2 linked regions of the Ovis aries genome follow. The protein of the gene in region 1 binds, or shares a complex with, the protein of each later gene. Links are inferred from orthologs where the notes say so. Each region holds a gene or a part of one and is shown on either strand. Other genes may lie near its edges.

Region 1 (14,429 bases):
CCTGGCCAGGTGGCCCCTCCCTGGCCTTCTAGCTTGGAGGTGCCAGCAGGCCAGAAGGGCAAAGTTAGCTACATCTGTTTTCCCTGATGATCGCCTGCCTCCTTACCTCATTCCCAGTGCTCTCCAGTTTGCAGTTACTGGAGACACAGCAGGGACAAAACAGATTTAGGCCAGATACAAAAACAGATACACTTCTGACTTCCTTGAGTCTGGCCACGAAGGTGGGCATAGGAGCTGAGGCCTCTGAATTGCCCACAAAGCCCAAGATGGCAGAGGCTCCAGAAGTCCTAGGCCTGTAGAGAAGGGAAGTGGCCGCAGGCGCTTCCTCCCAGAAACTGAAGGTTGGTTTCCTCCTGGGTCCCTTCCCGTGCTCCTGGCCTAAATCAAGGCCACCCTTTGAATAGATCCATTGGTGGAAACAACGACCGCCTCCAACTAGATCTTTCCTCTTGGCAGAGAGAGACAGCTGAGGGTACGGAAGCCCCAAGAGAGAGGCACCGATACAGACACAGAGAGAGATGCTTCTGGTTCTGGAACGTGCACGTCAGGCTCACTCTCTTTACATAGTACTGGAAACCCTCTAACTACCCAACTGCACAAGATACAACACCTTTTCCATAGGAGCTGTGCTTGCAGGAAAGCGAGGGAAATTCCCAGGAGCGAGAAGAGAAGCTAGCAGCTAGTGCTCCTGTGATGTCCCTGGAGACAGAGATGGGAGCTGCTGTCACAAAGCCAGGGCTCAAGATGCAAGGTCTCCTCTCCGAACTGGTGATTATGTGTCTAGGGCTCAAATTAATATCACTTTCAAGTTCAGGAACCCCTCTACCCCAAGTGGAGAAGTTAACAGGAAATGGCCGCCAAACGGTTCATTACCTGGGAGCTCAGCTAAAACCAAAGTCAATGAGTGTTCTGGGGAATCCTACCCTCCAGTGCTTGCTAAGCCCACAAGGACCTTGAGCAAAGAAGACCAGAAGCTGGAAGATGAAATTGGCTTACACTCTCAAGAATTCAGACAACCAAATGGCTGGATAAATAGTGAAGTGGCTCAGTCATGTCTGACTCTTTGTGACCCCATGGACTGTAGCCTACCAGGCTCCTCCGTCGTCCCATGGGATTTTCCAGGCAAGAGTACCGGAGTGGGTTGCCATTTCCTTCTCCAGGGGGATCTTCCTGACCCAGGGATTGAACCCAGGTCTCGAATCGCTGGATAGAGACCTTGGAATAAGCATGATTAGTATGGTAGCTGGCCGAAAAGGGGCAGTCAGAGAGATGAGAAAAGCAGACAAACACAGCTTGAAATTTCTATTTTCAAATGTCTATTTAAAAGAGAATCAAGTAGAACTTTACAGAAAAAAAATTGAAAATTAAAATAATTCAAATTAGATGCAGCCAAAGAGAAAACTAGCCAATGAGTGAGCAGGAAAATAGGAAGACCCCTCCCAGAATTTAGCACAGACAGTGCGAGGTGGGGAATGGGGCAGACAGAGGCCAGAAGGAAAGAGCACACAGGACGAGAGAGGAATTCATTCAATTCATTCAAATATTTGAAAAGGGAACAGCTGAGAACTTTCCATGATGGAAGCAATCTGAGTGACGGAACAGTCTGGATAGTCACAGGACATACAAGAAGTTTCAAGCAGAATAAATGGAAACACACGGGCTAACACCTCCCAGAGAAACTGCAGAGAAAAAGGTCTAACCAGGGAGACCACAGCTGAGAGCAGTTAAGCTGATGGCAGGTTTTCCAATAGAGGCAATGGGATGTTGTCAACGGGCTAAAGAGAGACCAATGGACCGCCTCAACTTCCTCATCCAACTGAACTTCAGTTGTGGGGGGGGGAGGGTAAAATAAAGACATTTTCAGGCAACAAAATATTCTCAAAGCTCCCTTGACAAAAGCCTCACGGTAAGAACTTCTGAAGGACGTCTGTCCGAAGGAGGGTTACCGGCCTGCAGGGAAGGGCTTTCCTAGAAAAAACTGTAGAGAAAGAGAACCACAAAAAAAGCAGAAACTCACGGGCGAATCTGAACATGCAGTGACCCGATAAAGCCATGGCAAACTTGATGGTGGGCTGGTCCTCCAAAATATGGTAAGCAAGGGCTGGGATGAGGAGGAGCTATTGGTTAACCCAGACTTCTCCCAAGTATGCACATTAACTTTCGAAGGGCAACCACGAAGACTGCAAATAGAATGAATTCCTTGCAAACTGGTAGAGGAACAAACTGGGAATCCTTCACAGTCCCCTAGGCCTCAAGGAAGAGGGTCCTGCCCTTGACAACCTGCAAGAGCTATTGCGGGCATGGGAAAGCCCAGGTTTGAGCCAGAAAGGGGTTCCTTGAACATACTTCCCCATCCTCCCACTGCCAAGATGGGTCAAGACAGGGCCAGATGGGCAACTGTGCAGATGCCTGTTGAAGGGTGTTCCTGAACTGCCATCCTTGGGCTTGGCTGAGTGGGACCAAGAAGCGTGAGATACTGTAAGGGGGAACCACATGTAGAGTGGCAGAGAGGAGCTCTGGGAGGGTGTGACCTCGGACGTTTCCTGAGGGTGCCAGCTGGGGTCCCCAGCAGTAGAAGAGGCAGGTGGGCCAGCTGGGCACTGGGCCCTCCCAAGCCTAGCCCAGTGGTCCAGAAGGCCGGCCCCCTCTCACCTGACTCTGAGTAGCCAGTGGCAGTGATGATGGGGACAGCCACCATGAGCAAGCCAGAGGCGCTCCACACGTACTTCATGAGGAACTGCTCCAGCATGACATACCACAGGCGTTCCAGCAGAATAAGGTTGATCTGGGAAGCCAGGTCCTGGTAGGAGTGCTGCAGAAGGGCCAGCTCCACCTGTGGGGAAGGGGTGCCGGAGACCCAGAGGTGTGGCAGTCAGTCCCCCGGGGCAACAGCGAGCATCCCTGAGTGCCAGGCTACACAGGCCATGGCATTCAAAGGCCATGACGGGGCTGAGAGCTGGGGCTTAGGACTGGGCCATGCTTGATGAGTCAAAGCATTGTTTACCAGAATTGGCTTTGCTTAATGGCTCAGCCTACCTGGTCTAAATGCCATACCTCTTGCCACCTCCAGGCTGTGTGAGCTGGAGCAGGTCACTTTCCCTGTCTGGGTTACCATGGACGGGGGACAGGTCTCAAACTCAGGGGAGGTATGGCATAGACAATGCAGAGCTGGGGTACAACGGCAGTGAAGGGGCTCACCCCCTCATTTCTGAGGCTCCCACCCCTTTTCCACTGTCTCTTCAGTTGGGATGTTCACCGTGCCCCCTTTCTGCCCCAGAGAGTTTTTCAACACGGGCTGAGGGCAGCCACCTTGCCCATTTCTTTGAGCAACTGCGGAGGGGTCACCCTGAATGAAGCGGAGGGGAGTGCAGGAAACACAAAGGCAATAGCTGGTTTCAAAGAACGTGCTCCGGTCATCTCTACCTCCATAGGCCCTGGCCTCCCTTTCCTTTCCCACAGTTCCTCTGGGTGATAAACTTGCACTGTGTCCTCCCATTGTGATCGGCAGGGCACACTCCCAAGCAAGCTCGTTCAGGCATCACCCCCAGTGGACAGCCCCACACCCAAGCCAGCTGAGGACGCCAGCCCGCCAGCCAGGCCACGAGGGGACCTGCCCTGCTTGCTTGTGCACTGGCCACCACTTGCCATCTCAGGAGAGAGTGGGCGAGAAACAGGCTCTCTGGGACAGCAGCAGTTAGATGGGCTGGAGTGGCCAAGAAGCAGTCGCAGCAAGGTGGCCATTGGGTCCTGGATGGCTTGGTAGGGGCGCCTGCTCTGATCCTGTCTCCCTACCCAACGGACAAGAGCTGCCCAGCCTGGAATAGTTTCCTTTGCCAATTCACCATGTTATAGCTGACTCTTGACTTGATTCTCACCACGTCCCATTGTATGTGTATTCTCCTGTCTGTGGTAGCCCAGACAGGCAAAGTGACCTGCTCCAGTTCACACAGCCTGGAGGTGGCAAGACATATGGCATTTGGACCAGGTAGGCTGAGCCATTAAACAAAGCCAATTCTTGTGAACGATGCTTTGACTTATTAAGAAAGTCTACCCGTGCTCAGGCTAATAAGAGGTTGGATGTGTTGGTATGAGCCCGTGTAATAACCCTTCTGTGGAGAAGGAAATGGCAACCCACTCCAGTATGCCTGCCTGGAAAATCCCATGGATTGAGGAGCCTACCTACAGTCCATGGGGTCGCCAAGAGTTGGACACGACTGAGTAACTTCATTTCACTTTTCACTTTCATGCACTGGAGAAGGAAATGGCAACCCACTCCAGTATTCTTGCCTGGAGAATCCCAGGGACAGAGGAGCCTGGTAGGCTGCCATCTATGGGATCGCACAGAGTCGAATACAACTGAAGTGACTTAGCAGCAGCAGCAGCAGCAATAACCCTTCTCCTTGACATCCCAGGAATAGCAAAATACTCGGCGGTCTGCCCTCCAGTCAGCCAGCTACCTCTGCCCCAGCCTGCTGATCTGAGCCTGGGCCAGTGTCCATGGGGACATCAGCCAATGGGACTGGGCTGAGCCACGTGCCCGCACAGTGAGGGCAATCAAGCCACCCATGAAGGCCCATCACATCACACAGCCCTTTGCCCGAGGCCTTGACAGACAGGTTGGGGACGTACATCAGGCCCCTCCCACCCCAGCTGGTGAATCTGCCCCAAGTACATGCTATTTCCTGAAACTAACCCAGAGGAAATCCTTCAAAGAGCTAGTGATTCTCCCTTCTTCCCACCTCCCCTGTCCCCAGCTAGGTCTTGGGCATCGCTCTGCCGTTCCTGAAGTGAGCACGTCTACTCTGAGCGCCCTGGCGATCCAGGCTCGTGCTGGGAGCTGGCAAGAGTGCCAGCTGGGGCTGACAATGTAGCTGCGGGGAATGTGCCAAGTGCCTCACCCAGGGCCACGGCTGCCTGCCAAGACCCTGCGTCCCTGGAGCACAGGGGAGGAGGACGGGGGTTGCGGCTGCAGATCCGGCCCTTTTTCTCCTTATCTGGAGCCCAGCCGGGAATGCCCCTATCTGCTCAGGGATAAGTCTTAAAAAAAAAAAAAAATCAGGGACAAGCCTGCCTCCCTGCCTGATAAGATGGGCTGCCAATGAGACAAGGTCGAGGACACAAGGCCATCTGACCTAGGGAGGATCCATGGGCCTTCAGGAGCTGGATGCCATTGTACCCCTCCCCCAGAAGCACTGGGGAACCGAAACCAGAGTCGCAGAGAACCTAGCCGGAGGCAGCTGCAACCCAGGCAGGAGGAGGGGAGGGGCCGGAGCACTGGCCTGGAGTAACCTCTCCCAGGCCCCGGCTCCTGGCCCTAGCCGGCTGGCCGCTGACCCAGCCTGCTGGGGAGCTGCACGGCTGGGACCTGGGCGGAAGGGCGGCCACACTGGGGGCAAGGTGGCCGCTGGGAGGGCAGGAAGTGCGTCCTGCTGCAGTGGCGGCTTGGGCCCCGGCACCCCTGGCTGGGGCCTCGGGGAGGCAGCCAAGCCCGCAGCCAGGCCAGCCTTTGGGCTCCGGAGGGGGGAGAAGCTTGATCTGGAGCGCTGAGATCCGATCGACACACCGAGCACTGCTGCTTGTTAACCTCCGCTTGGGCTGAGTCATGCCCATAATGCCCACTTGCCCGGCCGGACGCCGGGCTTCAAAGGGCCTGGGGGAATAGGAGGGGGCCAGACAGCAGGCTGCATCCTGTCATCCCTGCCCCCAGATGGCAGGAGCCCCTTCTCTGTTGGCTGCAGGCAGGGGGCAGGCTGGGAGCTCTTGGGTCTCCCATCACTAGGGTCCACAGCCCTAAGGCCAGGACAAGGGAGGTGGAGAGGAAGCAGAAGTGACCCAGGACAGTCTCCACCCAGCCTTCCTGCTTCTCCATTTCTGTGCCGATCCGGGCTGCCCACGGCCCTGGTCGTCCACAGCCTCCCTCTCCCATGGCCAGCCCACACCTGTGCCATCAGCCATAGGCAGCCCCAGGCCTTCCTGCCCCGGACTCCCCCAGCCACGCGCTTTCCGGCCCCAGGAGCAGCCCCACCTCATGGCCCCCGTAGAAGGCAATCTCCTCTGAGTTGGCCACCACTCGGGAGTGCATGTAGCGCAGCTCTCCCTTGCGCCGCGCCTCCTCAGCCACCAGCTCCCCGAACTTGGGCGAGAAGGCTCGCAGCACATTGGCCGTGAGGAAGACCACGAGGCCAGCGATGGCCGAGGGCCAGGCTGTGCCAGCCCCGCGGGAGCGGGCTGCTCGAACCAGGGTGTAGGTGGTCACAGCCACGTCCAGGAGCGGCTTGGTCAGGTTGGAGTAGAGGTGGGCCACGGAGGCAGCGAAGGCCACCACGTCCTCCGTCAGGGACTGGTCTGGGTTGCGAAGCCGCCCGTCCATGTTGCTGACCCGGTAGTAGGTCTGCTGGGAGAAGTAGAGACTGTAGGCATGGGCCACCAGCCGGCTGCGGAATGCCAGGGCCAACTGGCCCTCCAGGTAGCGGATGGCACTGTTGATGAAGGTGGCAGGCAGTGCGATGAGCAGCCACTGCACGAGCTGCCAGCTGAAGGCCTGAGGGTCCTTGCGCACGATGCAGCGGGCCAGCCGGCCGTCCAGGCGGGCTACGTACACCGACAGGAAAGTCCGGCTCACCAGGGCGGCCGAGTGCAGCGCCAGCAGCCCCGTCTCCCGGCACAGGATCCTGGGGAATAGCAGCCGCAGGAGCCATAGGAGCCGCTGCAAGAACACCTGGTTGACACCGGCCTTGGCCGCTGAGGCCACGGGGGCACCGGAGACGTCTGGTGCGGGCTCCCCATCCACCGCCGGCGCTTGAGGGCCCCTGGCCGGAGCCAGGCACTGGCGCACCAGAGGGTAGAGTTTGTGGGCTCCATAGGCCATGAGGGCCAGGACCACGGCAGTACGCTTCAGCGTGGTCACCCGCGAGGCTCTGGGGGTAGAGAGCACCGTCATGTCACCTGGGCTGGACTCACGGGACCGGGACGGGTGCCTGAGGCGGCAGAGGAGGCAGGTGGCTGCAAGGGTGGTGGCTCTGACCCCGGGCTCGTTGTCTAGGCAACTGGAGACCTCGCAGTGGTCCCTGAGACTGTCGCTTTAGGCCACCCGGGTGGCGCTGGGGCCCCTGGCGCGGGTGGGCTCAGGGCCCTCCAGGGTCACGGCCTCTTCAGGCGGCCGAAGTGGAGGAACTTGTCAGTCCCTTGGCCCTTGGGGTCAGAGCCTCTAGAGGTCTCCGGCCGAGGGCGTCTTTTTCTCTCCACCTCCTACTCCTCCTCCCCTGGTAGCGCCCCTCCCTGGGATACCGGCCGCGTCCGTCCGCTCCACAGCCCGGCTGAAGCGACTGTGACTCCGCCACCCGCCCAGAATCCCCACCTACCCACCCACCCCTCCCCAGGGGCGAGTCGGGGGAGGGGGAGGAGGCGGAGGAGGGGCGGGAGGCGGAGCCCAGGCACGGGCCGCCCCACCCCGTTCTCGCCCCACGGTGGGGCCCCGCCCCCTCCCCGGACCACAGAGACGCCGGAGGACCGCGCGGGCTAGAGAAGCGGCACCTCGCCTTCCCGCCAAGGCCGGGGACCCGTCTCTCCGCGCGCGCGCGCGAGGCGTGGCTCCTTCCCCAGTCCCAGACGTCGGGAGCCTCGGTTCGGGGGCGGGGCCTCCGGGGCCTTGTGGCGGTTGGGGGCGGGCCGGGACTGGCCGGGCGCTTCCGGTTCCGGCCGCGGGGAAGGGGCGGGGCCGGGCTGGTGGTGGGAGAGTTTGGCGACGACTGGGCGTGCGTGGTGACTCTGGAGAACTCGGTGAGCGGACTCGCGCGCCGCGCTGGGCTTCCGGGCCGCCGAGGTCCCCCGGCTCCTCGACGAGGGGGCGCGGGGAGGCCCGGTGCGCGGGGCCAGGGCCGAGGCTAGAGTGCGGGGGCGGGACCGGGCGGAGGGAAGTCAGGCTGGCGGCGGGTGGAGCCATCTCCAGGGTAGGGGGCGACGTCGAAGTCCCTCCGGAGGAGCCGGCGGGGTGGGGCTTGAGAGGGCGTGCCGGGTCGGGGCCTCGTCGAGGGGTCTTCTGGAGCCGGGTAGGCGCCGCGACCGACCTGGGAGGCCGGGAGGGGTTTCTCCGGCTTTGGAGGAGACAGTCTTCTAGAACTTTCTCTGGACGGGGCCGTGAGGTGCTGGGTTGAGACCCGCTCTTGCCCTTGGCTCCAACTCTCGTCCTCTAGGAGTCGCTCTCGGGGGCTCTCGGAGATACTGAAAGCTGAGCCGAAGGGGCGGTGGTTGGGAGGCTTTTGCGTTCCGCTCCTGCCCTGGGAGGAGCTGCTCGCTACTCCTCTGTCGGCCCGGGTGGAAGGGCCCAGAGGCATCGCAGGTTGGGAGGAAGCGCAAAGGCATTACTAGGACCGAGGCTGCGGTGTGGTGGGCGGTAGCTTGAACTGCCGATTCCCACCCACTGCTGCCAGGGTTCCGCAGGCGGAGTCTCCCGGACTCCACGGGGAGGAATTGTTTGGAAAAGTGTCTCTGGAGGTATTGGCAGCCAGGCTGCGGGGCTCGAGGGCTGGGAATGCTCTGAGGTCTAGGGCTGGTGGCTGCCGAGCTGTCACGACGCCTGTTTGTTCTGTGCTCCATCAGGAACAGGCTCACATCATCCCGGTGGAAAGCTGCTAGCAACACGATGAGTCTGCAGTGGACCGCAGTCGCCACCTTCCTCTATGCAGAGGTCTTCGCTGTGCTGCTGCTCTGCATTCCCTTCATTTCTCCCAAAAGGTATGGGCAGGCAAGCCAGGAAGAGTCTCGGTAGCTTGTGCCTGCAGAGTTGGGGGGCCTTAGAGTTGAAGCCAGCCGGAAACAGGTAGAACCTGTCTGGGATGGGGGTGGCAAGGACTGTGTTTATTATCGCCAGCTAGGCCCACAGTTGTGCTCAGTCACATCTTGACTAGGTCCTTTCCCCTGCACCCTGTCTTCTGGTCTTCAGAGTGTGCCAGAGGGGACAAGACCAAGTGACCATTCTGGAAACGATGCCCTCCGGGTGTTTAGGAGATGGCATTGTGAGATCTGCAAGACTTGCCTCTGGGTCATGTTACCGTTGATTTGGTGACTTCTGTCCTCCTAACCAGTCTCGCTGGGGTTGCGAAGTGGCCTCATGAGCATTACTCAGCCTAGGAAGGCCGAAGCCATGTTTCTTTTCAGTGAACAGAGGACTTCTGAAAAGTTATTTTGAAATTCATCTTGATTACATATACTATAGGAACACATCTGATCTTAAGTTAGAACATTACAAATAAGACTTACAGATGTTTTCATAGAAGCTTCTTTTTAATGAAAAATCACAGGCTGCTGTTGTGATAGAAAGTGTACAGCACTGCTTAAGGAATGTTCTTTACAAAAGCTAGATCTGAATCACCTCATACAGTTCACAGGAAATGCAGAGACAGTGGCCCACTTGGAGCTGCTACATGGAAAGCTTTGCAGGACAAACAGCCTGGTTTCTGCAACAGTGAATTAGGGGAGAAATCAGAGAGCAAGGGAGGGGGGAGTTCGTAGAATAAGGCCTGGTGTGCTGTGATTCATGGGGTCGCAAAGAGTCGGACACGACTGAGCGACTGAACTGAAGGTACTTATTAACAGAATGCAAAATCAGAACCTTGTCAGGATTCAAACAGACCAATTGTTAAAAATAATTGCCTCAGTTGGACTTTGGAGTTCTGGCTCTGATGATGAGAGATTTTTCTTGATATTTTTGAGGCTTGACGGTGGCATTGCGATTGGTAGCCATTTCTGAAGGGTCTTCTTTGACGGAGCTGTATGCTGAAGTATTTATGGAGGGAAAGGTAGGGAGGTCTGGGGTCTGCTTCATGGTAATCGGGGGTGGTGGGAGTCTAGATGAGCCAAGATTGGGCACATGGGAAAACAGTTTAAAGAAATAATGTGGATTTGGCAAGCATTTTGATACTACAGAGGGGACGCTAAGTTTCGCATTTCTCTCCCCAGAGCCTACCAGTGTTTAAGACTTTTTCTAGAAATTTCTATACTTGGACAGGTGTCTTTTTTTTTTTCTTTTTAACACTGTTGAACAGATGTCATAAGTTGGAAAATTGCAAGCAGCTGAGGCTGAATCTGTATGAGATATTCAGTCTTTGAAGAAGAGTGCAAAACTGTATCTGTTTTCAGGGCCCTGGATCCCAGGTGTGTGTTCTTACTCTACTGACCTTAGCCTTTTTGTCTTTTTCACAGATGGCAGAAGATTTTCAAGTCCCGCCTTGTGGAGTTGGTAGTGACATATGGCAACACCTTCTTTGTGGTTCTCATTGTCATCCTTGTGCTACTGGTCATTGGTGAGTGAGTTGTGGCTGATGGTAGCTATCTGACTTAGACCTTTTGCCATGGCCTCTGCTACAAAGCCCTGTGCCATGTGCCATGTTCCATGATTAGAGTACAGCTTTGACTTCTCAGAGACAGACCATTTAGTGCGCCTGTCTTTCTCTTGGGGGAAGAAAAGCTCCCTTCATCCACAAAGACGTCAGCATCCCTGCTACTGACTGCTGGCAGGGTCTTTGCTTTGACCAGCAGCCTTTATGCCCCTGGTGCTGACCATCTTGTGTCTCAGGCAGCTCCTTGGGTCCTTCCAGAGCTGAAACCAAGAGAGGCTAATGGACCTGTCCTGACCTTGGTCTCAGTAGGCTGCAGGGTTTATGAACTGGGTGTGTGTGCTTTTGCTTTTAGGTGTGGGCTGGGGGTAAGAGTTGGGGTGGGGAGGGACCATGCTGGGGGGTGTTCACTTAGAGCTTTGCCCTTCTGCACACCAGATTCCACGAATTCTCCTGGTATGGCAGATTGGGTGGGAGAGGCCCTTTGCAGAAGGTGGTAGTTGGCAAAAGTGCCGTTTTTCTTTTTGAGGAGTCAGGGAACTGCCTGGATGTTCTAGAGCGACATCCTGCTATGATAAAAGGCTGCTTCGTATCCTAATGTAATCTGTAGAGGTCTGCCTAAATAAGTTGTTCAGTTCAGTCACTCAGTCGTGTCCGACTCTTTGCGACATGAATCGCAGCACACCAGGCCTCCCTGTCCATCACCAACTCCCGGAGTTTACTCAAACTCATGTCCATTGAGTCGGTGATGCCATCCAGCCATCTCATCCTCTGTCATCCCCTTCTCCTCCTGCCCCCAGTCCCTCCCAGCATCAGTGTCTTTTCCAATGAGTCAGAGTAAGTTGTTAGCTAGTAGCAAATGCTAGCGACATAGCATAACTAGCTAGAAGCTGCAGCCCTGGCTGGCCCCTAGCCATCCCTGGGAAGGGATCTAGGGCACATCTCACTGGGGGAGTGGGCTTAATGAGAGTTCAGGGTCAACTGCCGTGGGCTGGAGGCCTGAGATAGAGAGGGTAGCCCTCTGCTGTATGACTTGAGCTAGTTTGGCCCAATGCCCCGATCCCTGGTTGGCTCTTTGCCATTAGTCAAGGTGGACCTTGAGGTGCTGGGGTCTCTGGCTGCAGAAGACAGTGTGGGAAAACATGTTTTTTGTTTAAATCACAAAAATAGCACAGCTTTAGAAATTTGTGAATTTAACTTACAAAGTTAAAGGTTCCCATAAACCCATGTCTCACAGGTAACTATTTTAACAGTCTGTGTTATGTTTCCACAGTCATTTTCTGTGTTGGCCGTGTCCTCACATGGAGGAAGGGACAAGGGAGCCCTCTGGAGTCTATTTTATAACGGCACTAAACCCACTCATGAGGGCTTTGTGCTCATCTTCCAAAGGCCCTACTTCCTAGTATCATCTGGTTGAGAGTTAAGGTGCCCAAATGGGAATTTTGGGGGTCAGGAACCCACATGTGTGTATGCTGAGTCACTCAGTTCGGTTTGACTCTTTGCGACCCTGTGGACTGTAGTGTGCCAGGCTCCTCTGTCCATGGGATTTTCCAGGCAAGAATACTGGAGTGGGTTGCCATTTCCTCCTCCAGAGGATCTTTGCAACCCAGGAATCGAACATACATTTCCTGTGTCTCCTGCATTGGCAGGCAGATTCCTTACTGTTGAGCCACTTGGGAAGCCCACGGATGTAACACAAAGATACCAGTAAGTGGAGGTGTGTTTTTATGATGTAAAATCAGCCTAAAAAACAAGCAGTCTCATACCAGAAATTAAGAACCAGATAGTAGCCTTACATTGCCCCTCTCCCATGGGGATCCATTAAGAGCACTCTTTAGGTAGATCTTTACATAATGATTTAAAAAGATGTCTCAGATGTTCATTTCAGCAGCACATATCCTAAAATTGAAATGAGACAGATGATTAGCATGTCCCCTGCATAAGGATGGCAAACAAACTCATGAAGCATTCCATATTTTTTTTAAAGCACGTTGTAGGGGATACAGAAATAGAAGTAATGGACTTATATAATGTTACAAATCAGTGTACTTCAATTGAGAAAAAAGAGATAGCAGGGTTGAGGGAGAAAAGTAGTAGGTATGGGATCGTTCCATTTCTAGCCTGTAAACACACAGATGTGAGTATATATATATATATATATATATATGAGTGGCCAGTAATGGTTTTTTAGAGCAGAGGTTGTTCACTGTTCAGGTGTTTGTGCTCCCCCTGTAACAGCTTAGAACTCTGTTAGGCCTTAAGGATGTAATAGGAAAGGTTTCTGTTCTTGTGGCGCTGTAGTCTAATTTGGGGGACATGAACATTAATTTTAGGTGTGTGTATGACATTGATTAATGGGACTGGAAATGATTGCTTTATTTAAGCTGGCCACATGAAGTAGGTTCTACTGGAGGTGATTGATTATGTTATGGGCTTCTTTCTCCTACATTGAACATTGATGAGCATGAATTTTTTTTTTGTAAGCAGAATACACCAGTTTAAGTAACCAGTTATAAAGCTTAGACACTTAGAAATGAAAACCTTTGAATCTTTAGCAGGCATCCTCCAGGTCTTGACTCCTAGGCAGCTCATGCTTCCCTTGTGGGCATTTCCATAAACAGGACTCGCCTGGCTTATCAGTTGGGTGGCTGATGGCCAGCCCCGTTTGTGATAAACAGAACCAAACAGTGGGGGCACCGTGGCAAAGGGAGTTGCCCTGGTTGCCAGCGACATCTCAGATTCGGTGAGCTTCTTGACACGGAGAGCAAGCTTGTGGTCTGGGTAGAATGGGTCTAGAGGGTGACATGAGAAAAGCTGGAGGAGAGAACAGGTCGGAGGGCAGCACTTCTGATAAGGCATCCATCAAGATGTGTGTAGAAGGGGAAGAGCAGGGGAGATAGTTTTGAGGAAAGCGAGGCTGCCCAGACTCACGCCTTGCATCTCAGCTGGACTGATCCGGGGCTGAACACCTGTATCTCTGCTCTGCCACAGATGCTGTTCGTGAGATTCGAAAGTATGATGATGTGACAGAGAAGGTGAACCTCCAGAACAACCCTGGGGCTGTGGAGCACTTCCACATGAAGCTTTTCCGTGCCCAGAGGAACCTCTACATTGCTGGCTTTTCCTTGCTGCTGTCCTTGTGAGTGGGGAGGGGCGAGGGAGTGTGAAGGGACCTATGGGCTAGTCTGTGGCCTTGAATTGGAGGCCCTTTCTACGTTCGGGGAACCACACAGTTTCTCCAGAGGCAGCATTGAAGATGGGAGAGGGCTGACGGGAAGGTCAGAAGACCACGCTGTGGCTCTGCCATAGCCTGCCACATGTTCTTTTAGGGCATGTGTGCTACTGTCACCTTGCTCTCTGTACACAGAGTGAAGTAAGTGACGGGTGTTTTCCCTCCTCTGGAGAGGCCCTTTGGAGCCCAGCTTTAAAAGGGAACAACTGAATGGGGCCTTTTTGTGTATGGGGTCCAGTCCTGAGCAGAAAGGGCACAAAATGGGACTGAGACCAACCGTGTCCCCAGGGCCTTCCCTGGTGTAGACCTATCACACGAGCGTGAGACCTATTGGAACCTGAGGGCTGGCATGCTACCTCCTGTTCACAGGGGTTCTGATGGAGTGAGGGTTTGGCTATTCTCAAGTGTGCTTACCTGGCAGGGAATAAGACATTGTGCTCGGGACAAGGGTTTCCAGGAGTATTGGGGAAAACTTACTGTGAGGTTACTCAGAAGTAAGGTGAGTTTGTGGATTCTTGGGCTGGGCTGTCTTAATTCTAATCACCTGGACCTCCTTCTTCACTAGGCATTGGAATGACTGTCTTGGTTTCCCTTTTGCACACAAAAAAAGTCAGTTGCTCAGCTGAGCCTGGTGTCTCTGGGTCAGAGTTGGAAAGTGACAAGAGGTGGAGCTGGCAAGGGCTTTTCAGGGGGATACATCTAATCCCAGGAGTGATGTGCAGGCCTGCCGTGTTCTACCTTCCGAGAGTCAGGAACTGAGAGTGCTGGGAGGAGTTGGACACAGAGCCCAGGGTTTTAGGGTTTCAGGAAGCTCCAAAAAAGAAGTATGATCTTGTGGACTGAAACTGAAAGGGAAGCAGATC
Region 2 (14,429 bases), on another chromosome or scaffold:
TGTCCATCACCAACTCCCGGAGTTTACCCAAACTCATGTCCATCAAATCAGTGATGCCATCCAGCCATCTCATCCTCATCCTCTTTCGTCTGCTTCTCCTCCTGCCCCCAATCCCTCCCAGCATCAGGGTCTTTTCCAATGAGTCAACTCTTCGCATGAGGTGGCCAAAGTATTGGAGTTTCAGCTTCACCATCAGTCCTTCCAATGAACACCCAGGACTGATCTCCTTTAGGATGGACTGGCTGGATCTCCTTGCAGTCCAAGGGACTCTCAAGAGTCTTCTCCAACACCACAGTTCAAAAGAATCAATTCTTCAGTGCTCAGCTTTCTTCACAGTCCAACTCTCACATCCATACATGACCACTGGAAAAACCATAGCCTTGGCTAGATGGACCTTTGTTGGCAAAGTAATGTCTCTGCTTTTGAATATGCTATCTAGGTTTGTCATAACTTTCCTTCCAAGGAGTAAGCATCTTTTAATTTCATGGCTGCAATCCCCATCTGCAGTGATTTTGGAGGCCCCCAAAATAAAGTCTGACACTGTTTCCCATCTATTTCCCATGAAGTGATGGGACCAGATGCCATGATCTTTGTTTTCTGAATGTTGAGCTTTAAGCCAACTTTTTCACTCTCCTCTTTCACTTTCATCAAGAGGCTTTCTAGTTCCTCTTCACTTTCTGCCGTAAGGGTGGTGTCATCTGCATATCTGAGGTTATTGATATTTCTCGGCAGTCTTGAATCCAGCTTGTGCTTCTTCCAGCTCAGCGTTTCTCATGAGGGGAAACATAAAGTAACACATACTGTGAACTAAAAACACAAGCCACTTGCCAAGAGACAGAAGTCAGTTATACAACAATCGCAGGGGCATTGTTGGTGGTTTGGGGGGTTTTGTTTTTAATTTTACTGTATTTTACTAAAAAAGGGGGAGGGAGGTTATTGCTGTTGCTTTGCCTGTTTTCATTCTGAATTAATCTGAATTGTTCCTTCCTCATTCATCTGCTGCTTAAGGGAAGTCCTCTACCGTGCGAAACAAAAAACAAAAAAAATGAAAAATTTACACTTAAATTTTTTAAAGATAAAAACTGGAGCATACTTACAAAGTCATCATATCCTGTCTGTCTGTTTATTCTTTAACTGACTCCTCGTCTCTGATGCTGAAGCAGGACTTAGGTTTAAATCCCAGCTCCTCCACTTCTAGCTCTGTGACCTAGGGGAGATGAATTAAGCTTTTTGAGTCTCAGTTTCCTCATAGATCAAACAGAACTCTTACCTTCCTGGTGTCATTTTGGACCACAGGTCACATGTGAGCCTTCCTTTATCTGGGGAAGAAAAGAGAATAGCAGAATAGTCTTTGGCTCCTGGAAGATGTTATTACCATACCCAAACCAAAACTCGTGTGGTTCACAAAAACACAGGGCTAACTAAGAAAAGAATGAGCGGGTTTCAGTCTTATATTCTGAAAATGCAGGATGGGTAGTGCTCAGCCTCTCAACAGGAGCCCTCCTAATCTGGATGCCAGGGAAGGCCTTCCCTAAGGAGGAGTCTTAGAGCTTAGAACTGACGTCAGTAGGAATTCACCAGGTCAGTCAGGGCACAAACCTATGTGTCATCCTACCCTCCTCTCTCACATCCAGTCCATCAGCAGTTCTTGCTGACCACACCTTCTGACCACATATCCTGAATGCCTTCACCTCCACTGCTGCCGCTATAGACCAGGTCACCACTGTCTCTTGCCTGGGCCACCCCAGTAGCCACCGGAGGGATTGCTCTATGCTAGATCATTTCACTCTGCTGCCCAAAACCCTCCAATGACTTCCCATCACTGGTCACATTAAGTCCAGTTTCCTTACCATAGTCTACAAGGACCCCCACGATCTGCCCCTGGCTACCTCTCTGCCCTCATTTTCTAAACCACTCTTATGTGTTCCTTCCTTAAGGCTTTGGCTCTTGCCGTTTCATCTCCCTGGAATGTTCTCCCCATTCACCTGCACGGCTACTTCAGTTCTCTCTCCAGGTGTCACTTCTCCACGGTGGGCTTCTTTGAGCTCTCCTCCACCAGCATCCTCTTCTCTGACAGTCCCTTTCCCCTGCTTTTCTTGTTTTCACAGCACCCTGCCATTATTGTGTTTCTAGTTATTTACTTGTTTGATTATTTTTTCTGTTTTCCCCACTAAAATGCAAGTTCTCTGAGAACAGGAACTTTATTCAGTGCTGATCCCAAATACTTAAACAGTGCCTGGCACGTAACAGGTGTTCAATAAGTATCTGTTGAGTGAACTAACTCATAGATGAATGAATGAGTCATATAAGCAAAGCGGGGGGCATTTCACGGCGGAGGGGAGATGTTCTAGATAGCAAGGACTGCATGTACAGAGGGCCTGTGGCCACTAGGGGTTGCAGAACTGAAAGGAGGCCTGTGGGGTTAGTGTACAGACAGGGAGAGGCAGTGAAGGAGAGATGACGCAGAGCAGGAGCCAGACCAGACTAGAGAGAACCTTCTGGGCTTTGCTGCAAGGTTTTGGCCTTTGTTCTAACAGCAGTGAGAAGCTATTAAAGGGTTTCAGATAAACTGAGAATTGTATTTTTATAAGGTCTCTCTGCCTACTCCAAAGTGACAATAGTTTGCATTTGGATGCTATTGAAAAAGATCAGTTCTGTAGCTTAGTCATGTCCCACTCTTTGTGACCCCATGGACTGCAGCATGTCAGGCTTCCCTGTCCATCACCAACTCCCAGAGCTTACTCAAACTCCTGTCCATCGAATCAGTGATGCCATCCAACCATCTCATCCTCTTTCATCCCCTTCTCCTCCTGCTTTCAATCTTTCCCAGCATCAGGGTCTTTTCCAATGAGTCAGTTCTTCGCATCAGGTGGCCAGAGTACTGGAGCTTCAGCTTCAGCATCAGTCCTTCCAATGAATATTCAGGACTATTTTCCTTTAGGACTGACTGGTTCGATTTCTTTGCAGTCCAGGAAAATCTCAAGAGTTTTCTCCAACACCACAGTTCAAAAACATCAATTCTTCAGCGCTCAGCTTTCTTTATAGTCATAACGCTCACATCCATACATGACTACTGGAAAAACCATAGCTTTGACTAGACGGACCTTTGTTGGTAATGTCTCTGCTTTTTAATATGCTGTCTAGGTTGGTTATAGCTTTTCTTTCAAGAAGCAAACATCTTTTAATTTCATGGCTGCAGTCACCATCCACAGTGATTTTGGAGCCCCTCAAAAATAAAGTCTCTCACTGTTTCCCCATCTATTTGCCATGAAGTGATGGGACTGGATGCCGTGATCTTCATTTTCTGAATGTTGAGTTTTAAGCCAAGCTTTTCACTCTCCTCTTTCACTTTCATCAGGAGGCTCTTTAGTTTTTTGCTTTCTGCCATAAGGGTGGTGTTATCCGCATATCTGAGGTTACTGATATTTCTCCCAGCAATCTTGATTCCAGCTTGTGCTTTATCCAGCCCGGCATTTCGCATGATGTACTCTGCCTGTAAGTTAAATAAGCAGAGTGACATTATACAGCCTTGATGTACTCCTTTCCTGATTTGGAACCAGTCTGTTGTTCCATGTCCAGTTCTAACTGTTGCTTCTTGACCTACAGGAGGCAGGTCAGGTGGTATTCCTGGTATTCCTGTCTCTTTTAAGAATTTTCCACGGTTTGTTGTGATCCACACAGTCCAAGGCTTTGGCATAGTCAATAAAGCAGATGTTTTTGAAAAAGACGGAGAAACGTAATTTGGAAGTAAAATGAACAGGCACTACTTCTTATCCCTATAATCCAGGGTGGATGGCTGTGCTTACTGGACCCAAGGAACAAACTTAAGATCTCTTCATTGGCACAGAATCGAGCCATGTAACACATTCTTTTCCCCCCCACAAATTACATTTAACAAACCCTGATGGAGTTTTTGCCATGTGCCAGGCCTGTGCCAAGAGCTACAACAGATGCAAACATGGATGAGGGGTAGCAGGCCACCTGAGGAAAGTAACATCCTGATAGAAATAGTGGACTTTTGCCTTTCTTAAATTCCCTGCCTTCAAAGGAAGGTAAGTTCTACTTGCCCTTAGTGTTCAGCCCTGTTTTCACTCATCTGCTTCATATTATGTACACCTTTTTACCCTCTCTGCTTACCCCAATGCCCAGCCAAACTTAGGCACCCACTACATCTTTGAAGGAACGTAAATTTTTCTCCTTGACTATTATGGAGCCAGTTCCCTAAATTGAGGTTTCTCTTAAACTTTACTGAGCTCATATCAACTGTCCAAGCCAAACAGAAAAGAATAACTCCCTACTTTAACTCACAAGGCTATGAGGAAAAAAAGATTCAAGGGGCTTTGCAAATGTGAAGGGTGTTTGTTTGGATGCTAACCCCCTGCATTTGCACTGCGGTCATTACTATTATTTCCTGACAATTCAAGAAATATTTCTTGAACATTTCATTTTCCTTGTGCTCAGAGCTAGAGATGGACAGATAAACAAGATACAGTTTCTGCCCTCGGGGAACTTACATTCACAGGTGTGCTGGAGTACTGTGGGTCAAGGTAAAGAGAATTTGAGAGTCACTTAGCTTCCCTGGTGGCTCAGATGGTAAAGCGTCTGCCTGCAATGCAGGAGACCTGGATTCGATCCCTGGGTTGGGAAGATCTCCTGGAGAAGGAAATGGCAACCCACTCTAGTATTCTTGCCTGGAGAATCCCACGGACGGAGGAGCATGGTAGGCTACAGTCCATGGGGTTGCAAAGAGTTAGAGGCGACTGAGCTACCCTCATGACCTACGCTTCACTGCACAGAACACAGATGCCAGAGCAGCATGCAGCATTTCCCCTTTCCATGTTTTTTTGCTTCTCACTTCCAAGCTCCTTAATGCCCATGACCCCACATGAATGGCCTTTCCCCCTTTAGTACACCCAGAGGATGCTTTATTAAATAATATTTAAAATATTGGACCTTCTGTGCAAGCAGAGGCAACAGCTTTTCTTTAAACTCCCATTAATAGCATCCCCCATTAGTATGTATTCCAGTCTCTGGTTTACGTTTGACAGATCTAGTTTTCTTTGCTCTTGCATTATAAGTCCGCCCGGGCCCTGGAAACCCTGGTACTAGTTATGATTTTCTTGCAGGCACTAAAAAGTCACGTAGCCCCTAGGGTCCTAGATATCTGGGAGCAGGGAGTTGGGGCAGGGGGGAGGGAGGAAGAGAGAGGGTTAGACTAGATCTTAAAATTACGGGATCCATGCCCAGATCCCCACCTTCTCTTTACGCTGTTTTCAGTCTGGGGGCTAACCATCAAGACACCGTCTCGTACTTCACTCAGGGAGCCTCTGTAGACGGAGGCACTTGCAGGGTACCCAGGAAGACCAGCTTTAGGACTGGCCAGGCGCCGTGCGCGGCCTGCGGGCTCTGGTGAGGGAGAGGGACCAGTTGCAGCGTGCGCATCAGTGAGACCATCTGCGCGCCGCGGCGGCGGTAGGCGGAGGCGGGTTCGGCGGCGGCTACGGGAAGCGATTGGCTCTGCGTAGGGGAGGGCGGTCCCGCTTCCGCCGGACACCGGAAGTGACTCTCCGCCCCTGTCAGTGGGCCATGGAGAAAGTGGCAGTGTAGCGTCCGAGTTGTGAGGACTGCGGGGCCGGCGGCCATGGAGGCCGTGCTGAACGAGTTGGTGTCTGTGGAGGACCTGCTGGTGAGGCCCGGCTCCGAGGGAGGGAAAAGGAAGATTCGGAGGGGCGGGCCCTGAGGAGAGTCGGGTAGGGGCCAAACTCTCCTCCCAGCATCAGTTTTGCCTAGAGAAGCCGAACTACGGCTCCCGGCAGCCCCAGCAGCGTTCGGCTCTTGCCCAGAGGGTCCACTTTGCCCCAGAGCCTAGTGGGAGTTGTAGTTTCCTGTGCCACCACGCCTCAGACTCGGGGCCTGGAGTCTGACGGGTGCTAGGTTCTCCCAGAAGCTCGAGGTCAGGATGCGGGCACTTGATTTTAAGTGCTCCTTCAGTGGCGGGGGAACACAGCGACCACCGTAAAGTTTCACATAGTACTCGATCCGGCACAGCGCTAAGTCCCTTGTAGGGGATGTCTCAATCTTTGTAGCTCTAACAGGAAGTAGGCAGGTTTATTACGGTTTTTTCCTTCAGATAAGATAGGGTCCAGACTAGGCAGGGTGGGGCTGAGAGAAGCAGTCTCCGACGAGGGGCCGCGTGGGCTGGACTGTTGTTGAGCTATTCTGACAGCCTGTTGTTTACTGTTCAGGCCAGCCTCCCGGGGTCAGCTGCTCCGGGAGCGGTGCCTGGGGCCGCCACCAGGTGGCATCTCCACTCGGCACCACTAGGGGGAGGGAAGCAGAGAGGGGAGGTCCAAGGAGACAAAGGAGACGACCCGGCACTAAGAAGCAGAATGCCTGGGTCCCAGAGATGAAGATTGCAGGACCTGGGGTACCCCATGGTCGGGTACCCCAAGACCCGAACGGGGGTTGTGGCAAGGGAGAAGATGGGTAACAGGGACACCCAGGTCCTGCTAGAGTTCAGCTTGCCCCCTTCACTTCTAAATGACTCCTCTCCTCTCCTGTGGCAGAAATTTGAAAGGAAATTTAAGTCTGAGAAGGCAGCAGGCTCGGTGTCCAAGAGCACGCAGTTTGAATATGCCTGGTGCCTGGTGCGAAGCAAGTACAACGACGACATCCGTAAAGGCCTTGCTCTGCTGGAGGGTGAGGTGCTAGGCTGACTCCCCAACTCTCCCCTTCCCAACTTGCCATCGTCGTCCTCTGCCACCATTGGCCTGGTTTGCTCCCTCCATCTCCAGTGTGGGGATCCTTTCAACATGGGATCTCAGCGTTCAGTTATCTTCCAGTAAACTCACTGCAGGAAAGGGCTGCACTTAGTCTGACTTCTCCCAGTGTGCTTTTGGCTACTTGCTACCTCATTGGTGTTTTGCCAGACAGTCATAGCATGTCAGTCCCCGTGGGACTTTGGTGATCTGGTCATCTAGACAGAAGGAAAGGGACTGGTCTCAGGTCAGACAGCTGCTTAATTAATGGCTGAATTGGGAACAGAAGCTCCTGTCTTCATGTGCCCCAGTCGTGTTGTCTTTGCCCCCTCACCTCACCTTATTGGTTATTTAGCAGCTATTGTTGAAAACCTTTGGGGCGAGTCACGTAAAAGTCCAGAAGACCATCCTCAAAACCTGTGAGCAGATGGTGGTTTTTTTTTTAATCAAAATACTGTTTCCTGTTAACTTTGGATAGGTCAGCATTTGTCAGAGGCCACAATACTTGACCTTTAAATTTCTCTGTACCCCTTTTCTCTTGGTCAAGTAATGGTGTATAAACAATCACTAAACTAGCCAAAGATACCTATTGTAAATCCATAAAAGTAAGAATCTTCCTGAATGCAAATCATCTCAGCCTCCAGTTCCTAAGAAATAGGACACAGCTGCAGAAGTGGTCTCTAAACATTGCCATTCTAGTTGACAGACGCTTGGGAAGCTGTATAAACACCTGCCCACTTAGCAACAAATTCTAGTACACAGAGTACAGCTGAACGCGTAACCTTATGGGAAGTCACTGAACTTAGAAAGTTAGATGGGATCTTTCAGGGAGGGGTAGTTGAAGGCAAGTTTGGAGCTGTTTTTTTAAAAAGAGAAGGAGTGAAAACTTATTTTGAACACTACTCTGGGCAGCAAGCAACTGGAGTAGAGATGCCTTTGGCTTGTCCACTGCCCTGATTTGCTTTTAGTTCACTTGGATGAACCAGAGTTGACTGGAGTGTTGATATGGGGGCTGCGTACACCTCAGTGTTGGCTGGGGTTCATGCTGCCCCACGGCTCTGGGTAGGAAGCCCAGAGTGACTGGAGCTGAAGTGGAGGCTCAGGACAGTGAATTTAGGGAGTGAAGGGGGTGTCTGGGACACAGGCACTAAGAAAGAAGAGAAGGGGTTTTCACCCTTTTCCTTCCTCCCTACTCCCCAGAGCTGCTGCCCAAAGGGAGCAAAGAGGAGCAGCGGGATTATGTCTTCTACCTGGCCGTGGGGAACTACAGGCTCAAGGTAAAGCAGAGCACTTCCTTCTCCCCCTCCACCCTGCCTGGGTGGTCAAGCACTCATCTCTCTCCTCCAGGGTAGAGCCCAGGCCAGAGAGGGCAGTAGGCAGGGGGTGGTGTTGGGTACAGAGGTGCAAGGTGAAAGCAGGCCAAGATACTAAGGGAAGGCGAGAGACGGAGGATCTGGGTGCCGAGGGTGTGGGGAGCAAAGTGATGTCAGCACTGGGGTGCAGCCCCAAGCCTTGGGCTGTTATCTCCTTCAGCTTATCACCCCCACACAGTTGGGGTGGTTTGTGGACTCTACTCCTCTAGGTGGGGCTGGAGCAAGGGAGGGGGTGCAGGGAGAGGGAGGAGCCCCAGGGCCAGCGGAGAGAAGGCCCCTCTGATGGGCAGGCGGAGGGATGGAATTCTGAGGGGGTGTGTGTTGTTTTCCCTGAGTGCAGGAATATGAAAAGGCCCTGAAGTATGTGCGAGGGCTGCTGCAGACAGAGCCGCAGAACAACCAGGCCAAAGAACTGGAACGGCTCATTGACAAGGCCATGAAGAAAGGTGAAGGCCGTCCTCTCTGCCCCTCTGCCTCCCTCCACTCCCTGCCCTCATGTTTCCTTGGCCCCCAGCATCCCCGGGCCCCTCTCCACTCTCTTAACTCCTCTTCTGTCGCCCGTGCCTGGACCCTCTGGTCTCTCTTCAGATGATGCCCTCCAGGCAGTTCCTCCTCAAACCCTCTTCTTTCCCCGGCCCTGAGGGCCCCTCACACCAGGACTCCAGGGAGAGAGGCATGTCTTCTGCCAAGGAGCAGCAGGCCGTGAGGTGGTAGCCCAGGTCCCCGCAGGGACTGGGTTTGGCCTCGTGACAGTCTCCCTTTTCCTCTCCCCAGATGGACTAGTGGGCATGGCCATCGTTGGAGGCATGGCCCTGGGCGTGGCGGGACTGGCTGGACTCATCGGACTTGCTGTGTCCAAGTCCAAATCCTGAAGGAGGTGGCATCCCTGCGTCTGTGCAGGGACACGTGGGAGCCCGTGGAGGACACTGGAAGAGAGGCCCACCCCCCCGGCCGTCCCTTTCTTCTCCTGCACTGCATCCCTGTCCTCTGTGAACGTCACCCTCCTCTCCCCTGAGAGCTGTCACCTATCCCCAAATCATGTGCTTGGAGATGAGTGTAAATAAACCTGGACTTGGGCTTGGGAACCTCTTGTGTCCATGTTGAGAAAGGGGTGGGTTTGGTTGGGCCCAGGAGATCAGAAAATGGAATATATGGCTAAGCATACGGGGTCACACGTGTGCCCTTCCTGCTCTGCGCCCTCCTACGCCTACCCCGGAGGCTGCTGTGGGGTTCTCCTTTGTCCACCAAGCTGCCCAGACCCCACACCCTTCCTTCCTTCCCCCACCACTAGCCATGTCCTTGAGCAGTGGCAGGCAGCATAGGGATGTGGCCTTTGCATGGCCTTAGAATCCTGACAAAAAACTGACCAGAGGCGGGAAGGGCAGAGCTGAAGGGACAGGCAAGACTGATGTCTCCTCTGACCCACTCAGCTGCCTCTCAGCGTGGAGTTTTCCACACCAGGGAGGCCCCCACTCAGCTTCCTCCAAAACCTCCGCCCTTCCCTCCCTTTGTCCTGCGTCCTCCCCTTCCTCCTCCCTGTCCCTCTCCTTAAGGGAGGGGGGCCACCGGGGGCGGGGCAGGGGGGGTAGGAAATGGGCATTTGGCATGGACTTGGCAGAGGTCACGGAAGAGGTCAGGAACCCAGGACATCCCAGTTGCAGAAGGAAGGTTGGAACCCAGTCTCCACCCAGCCCACTTGGCCTCACACCCATTAGCCCGTGCCAGGCTCAGCCTGGGCCTGTCTTGCTTCACTTCATACCTCTCATTCTTTATCCCCACTGGGGGGACAGGGGAGGAGGCACCTGCAGGCAGCATGGAGGAGCCTGGCACAGGGAAGAGGATGGGGATTACACCTCAGCACAGTGATGTCCCGTGTGACTGCCTGGGTATAGAATGAGCCCCTTGGAACTGAGCCCCAGCCACGCTCGCCAGAAGGGAACCGGAGCTGTCCCAGCTGTGGGAAATGAGACCGTCTCTGCCAGGACAGGTGCTCAGTGTTGGCTTGGGGTGGGGACCCAGAGGTTTCTAATCTGTCATAATTAGTAGAGCCGGTGACGGTTCTGATAACTCTGAGCTGCTTAGATTATCAGAGGATCACGTCCTGGGCTTGTGATTTATCCCACTTAGGGCCCCTTTGGCAGCAAGATCAAGCTTTTTGCCGAGAGTCAAAGATCAACCCAACAAGGGGCGAAATTCAAGTTCAGGAAGTTGGAAGTTTGGAGAACAGCCCCTGGTGGCCTCAACCTGGGCCTTGGACACCCAGGGCATTCACCTGGTACTGAGCAGTTCATACTCGCAAGGAGCTTTGATATGAGGTCACAATTCTCAACATAACCTACGAAGTGAGGAGGAGCAGTTCAGTTCACAGAAGCAGAAACAAGCTCAAGGGGCTCCGACTTCATGCCCGTGGCGCGCTGGTCAAGGATAGGACCTGGTTGGAATCCTGGTTGGTTGGATTCCAAAGCCATGGGTTCCCCCAGATTTCCCATTCCCTCATTCAACCTTACTCTCCCTTGGAGACTCAACCCTGAGGTCTCTGAGTTTCTTGAACTGTTCTCACCAGCATTCAGAGGGTGGCTCAGCTGCCTTGATCCTTCCCCACCGAAAGGTGCAGGGGGCCTCTCTGTGTTCAGCCTCGGTCTCTTGCCTCAGCCGCTTCCTCTTTCCTTGCCCCTCTTACTCCATTCTCTGGCCCCCGACGAAAGCTGAGTCAGAAGCCAGCGCTTCCCCTTGGCTCCCAGTGCCTCCCATGGGAGCCCCTCCTTGGCGGCGCGTCCGTTAGTCACTCCCCGGTAAGTCCTCTCCCCCCACCCTCGAGGGGCGGGGAGCCCAGGGCAGCCCAGAGGCCAGGGGGGAGGGGGTGGACTTTTGGCCCGTTTCGTTTATTCCCTCCATCTCCTCGTCAACAGCTGCTGTGCGCGCTTGGCTCATTCCTCTGACGGACCTGCGGGGAAGCGAAGAGACCGGGGGAGAGGGCAGGAGACACACCGGAGACGGACCTGGGCCACGGAAGAGGCCGAGGCTGCAGCCTGCCTCCCTCTCTTTCCCTAGCCTGCCTGAACCACCCTCCTTGGCCAAAGCCCCCTCGGGTTCCCCCGGGGCCCAGCCCCTCCCCCTCTCTGGGGCCCTGGGCTCCCCCGGGGCCTGTGGCCCACCATGCCGGTGGCTATGGAGATCTTCGGCTTCTTCCTCACAGCTGTGGGGCTGCTGATGCTGGGGGTGACCCTGGCGCACAGCAGCTGGCGAGTGTCCACCGTGCATGGGAATGTCATCACTACCAACACCATCTTCGAGAACCTCTGGTACAGCTGTGCCACCGACTCCATGGGCGTCCACAACTGCTGGGAGTTCCCGTCCATGCTGGCCCTCTCCGGTACGGGCTGGGGAGAGCCGAAGGGAGCAGAGGGAGGCGGGAGGCTGGAGAGACCCCAGGGAGGGTGGGCGCTGCCTGTGGTTGGACCTTGGGCGCCATACAGCCCAGGGAAGCCAGATGCAGTGAGGAGACCTGCTTCCTGCAGCCAGGAGTGCTGGGGGCATCTCTCTGTCTGGAACTCCAGCAGAGGCCGCGCCACGTGGCCCCCTGCTCTAGCATGACCCTCTGTCTTTGTGGCTACAAGTGCCGGCACTGGGGCTAGAGTGCCAGCCCTGACACCTGCCCTGGACCTGCTCCGTGCCTCCTGATAAGATGAGCTTCATTTGACCCATCTGTTAAAACTCGGGTCAGAATAGCACTGGTTCACTGGGTGGTCGTGAGGATTATGTGAGATGAAATGTGCAGAAAACGTTAACACCAGGCTGGCGTCTACGCTCGCTCAATCAAATCCAGCACTTTAGTTTTGGGGTGAGAGTACTGGGGCTTGTGGGGTGAAGAGGAAACCCCACCTTGGATTCCTGGGGGTTGAGATACTTAGAAGTCTCAATAACTGCACCAGGCTTCCACTGGGGCATTGGTCTCACTGCCACGGCGAGCTCTAGAAGGCTGTTTTAAATGGAGACCTCTTGCACGTCTCAGTATGCACTGTAGTCAGGGATGTGTGTGCATATGTGTTTGGGGTTGTTGGTGGGCTGGAGCCTACAGCTCTTTTGGCTCCAAAAGGCCCTCCCTGGTTCCTGGAGCTCATGCTGTGAGCAGTACGCATCACTCCCCAACCCGTGGAGCCCTTCAGTCGGCCCGGCCCTCACCAGTGCGCTGCAGCTCCCGTGCCCTCACTGGGGGCTGCTGGAGCCATCATGCCCTTCCAGGGTCCCCAGCTGCAGGGGCCGGGTGGCAGGGGAAGGAGCTGAGGCCAGCATGCCAGGAAACTGCCTCCCCGAGTATCAGAGATGCTATGAGCTGCTAGGGAGTCTGGGTGGGTCTCCCCTGCCCCTACTATTCCCAGGGTCTCCTGAGGCAGCTACAGGGGCTTCATGCTCTCATCCCATCCAGGACCCGCCCTCCCCCCGCCAAAAAAAAGAACTTCTATGAAAGCTGAGTACAATCTGGGTCAGACACCAGGATCGGACGCCAGACTGGTGGGTGGGCAGGAGGGACATTGGCTGCAGCCACTCAGCAGCGTGGTGTGAGGAGGGGCCCCACTGGGACTGCTGCTCTCATGACTGCGCACAGAAGACAACGAAAGGCGGAGATGCAAGGGCGAGCGAGCCGGGCGGGGAGGGCAGAGAGCACGCAGCTGTCCAGGGATGGGCTGAGGCTCCCGGCATCATCAGTGCTTTGCGTGCACCATTTCAGTGCTGTTTACAGCCCCGCCATTGGCAGCATTAGTAACCTCATCTCAGGAGCAGGAAAACTGCATGGTGACCTGCCCTGAGCCACCCAGGTGGTTGGGGGGCTGGAATTCAGAGCCAGCCGATACTCCGTTCCCAGGCTAGTTCTGGTCCTGGGGGGGTCCTGTCACTTACTCACACCGCAGCCACGCAGCTGCTTATGGGCCCTTCAATAACGTCTCCTTATCTACAAGAGCTCCCTGGGGATCCGGAGCTGGTCTGCCCAGGTGGGGATGGGTGGGTGGGTGGATGGGTAAGTAGGGGGAGAGGCTGGGGGAACTCCAGAGGAAGTGACCGGAAAGGAGAAAATGCTCCCAGGGAACTTTGCCCCTCCTCCCTGCCCCCCAACTCTGGGCCACTTCACATCTTCCTGGCAGGGGCCCAGCCTTTCCCCTTCAACACGGGTGGCACTGCCCCACCCAGGGAAGGGGTGCAAGGTCCTTGGGAGTGCTTGGCAACTGTCGAAGACCTAGGAGGAGGAAGGGGGCCCAGAAAGGGAGCAGCCGTTTCCTTCCTTCGGCTCTGAGGAAGGAGCATATGAGCTAGGCTTGCCTCACACCCGTCCTAGGCCCAGGTATCCCACCTTCCAGATTAGAAGCTGCCACTGCTGCCCCCTATCGGTCACTCCGGGAAGAGGCTGGGTTCAGGATGTCAGGCACTGTGCAGGGCGATAAATGGGACCTCCCAGATGTGAGCAAGGGGAGGGGTGCTCACAGAGTGTAGTGTCTGTAACACCCAGCAGAGCATGGCGGTTCTCAACTAGTGGTAGCTTTTTGACAATATCTAGAGATTTTGATTGTCCTGTCTGGGGGGACTGCTATTGACGTCTAGTGGGCAGAGGCCAAGGATGCTGCTAAATACCCTACAATGCAGGGACTTCCCTGGTGGTTCAATGGTTGAGGTTCCCTGCTTCCACTGCAGGGGGTCACCAGGTTTGATCCCTGGTCAGGGAACAAAGATCCTACATGCCAAGTAGTGTGGCCAAAAATTTAAAAAAAAAAAAAAAAATCCTGTAAAAGGAGTATCACCCCCAGGACAAAGCATTATTAGCCAAAGTGTCTAAGTGGCGCTGAGCAGAAGCCTTGTAACAGAGGTAGAGGCGAAGTGCACCTGGAGGGTCGAGGGGTGCGGAGGTAAGCTCCTGGGAAGGAGGGGGTGTGACCCCTCAGATGGGATGGGGCCCAAAGAGGAAGCAGAGGACTTGAGGGCTTGTAGGGACTGACTGTCACAGGCTGGAGAGCAGGCGGAGGGGAAAGGGCCGGCTCTGGGACCCATGGCTGCGCCCCGCTTCCCCAGGGTACATCCAGGCCTGCCGGGCGCTCATGATCACCGCCATCCTCCTGGGCTTCCTGGGCCTCTTCCTAGGCATGGTGGGGCTGCGCTGCACGAACATTGGGGGCCTGGAGCTCTCCAGGAAAACCAAGCTGGCGGCCACCGCAGGAGCCCTACACATCCTGGCTGGTAATCGGGGGAAGTCATGGGTGGACCCCGCGCTGCAGTGGGAGGGGGTGGTGCTGCAGTGGGGGTGGGATGG

Evidence for each region.
Region 2: the proteins of BCAP31 (region 1) and FIS1 are in contact, whole or in part, in a crystal structure (PDB 8XWX), measured with the Homo sapiens proteins. The link is inferred for Ovis aries from reciprocal best matches to the Homo sapiens genes BCAP31 and FIS1. Residues at the interface, in NP_001132913.1 of Homo sapiens: Asp224, Leu227, Glu228, Ala231, Lys232, Ala235; in NP_057152.2 of Homo sapiens: Arg52, Val56, Glu59, Glu60, Pro63, Lys64, Lys89.

Annotation. Positions count from the first base shown.
Region 1 is NC_056080.1:80,538,155-80,552,583, forward strand, and holds the start of BCAP31 (B-cell receptor-associated protein 31), read left to right. Parts: upstream 1-7,734; 5' UTR 7,735-7,949; exon of another isoform or gene 7,950-8,048; intron 8,049-8,249; exon of another isoform or gene 8,250-8,493; intron 8,494-8,598; 5' UTR 8,599-8,641; coding exon 8,642-8,733; intron 8,734-10,200; coding exon 10,201-10,301; intron 10,302-12,211; exon of another isoform or gene 12,212-12,314; intron 12,315-13,325; coding exon 13,326-13,473; intron 13,474-14,429. Other genes in the region: ABCD1 (ATP-binding cassette sub-family D member 1), read right to left, coding at 2,653-2,833, 6,026-6,940. UniProt on the Homo sapiens protein: Functions as a chaperone protein. Is one of the most abundant endoplasmic reticulum (ER) proteins.
Region 2 is NC_056077.1:35,888,515-35,902,943, forward strand, and holds FIS1 (mitochondrial fission 1 protein), read left to right. Parts: upstream 1-5,578; 5' UTR 5,579-5,641; coding exon 5,642-5,686; intron 5,687-6,566; coding exon 6,567-6,699; intron 6,700-7,958; coding exon 7,959-8,035; intron 8,036-8,471; coding exon 8,472-8,723; 3' UTR 8,724-8,905; coding exon of another isoform or gene 8,906-9,003; 3' UTR 9,004-9,216; downstream 9,217-14,429. Other genes in the region: CLDN15 (claudin-15), read left to right, coding at 11,288-11,504, 14,192-14,356. UniProt on the Homo sapiens protein: Involved in the fragmentation of the mitochondrial network and its perinuclear clustering. Plays a minor role in the recruitment and association of the fission mediator dynamin-related protein 1 (DNM1L) to the mitochondrial surface and mitochondrial fission.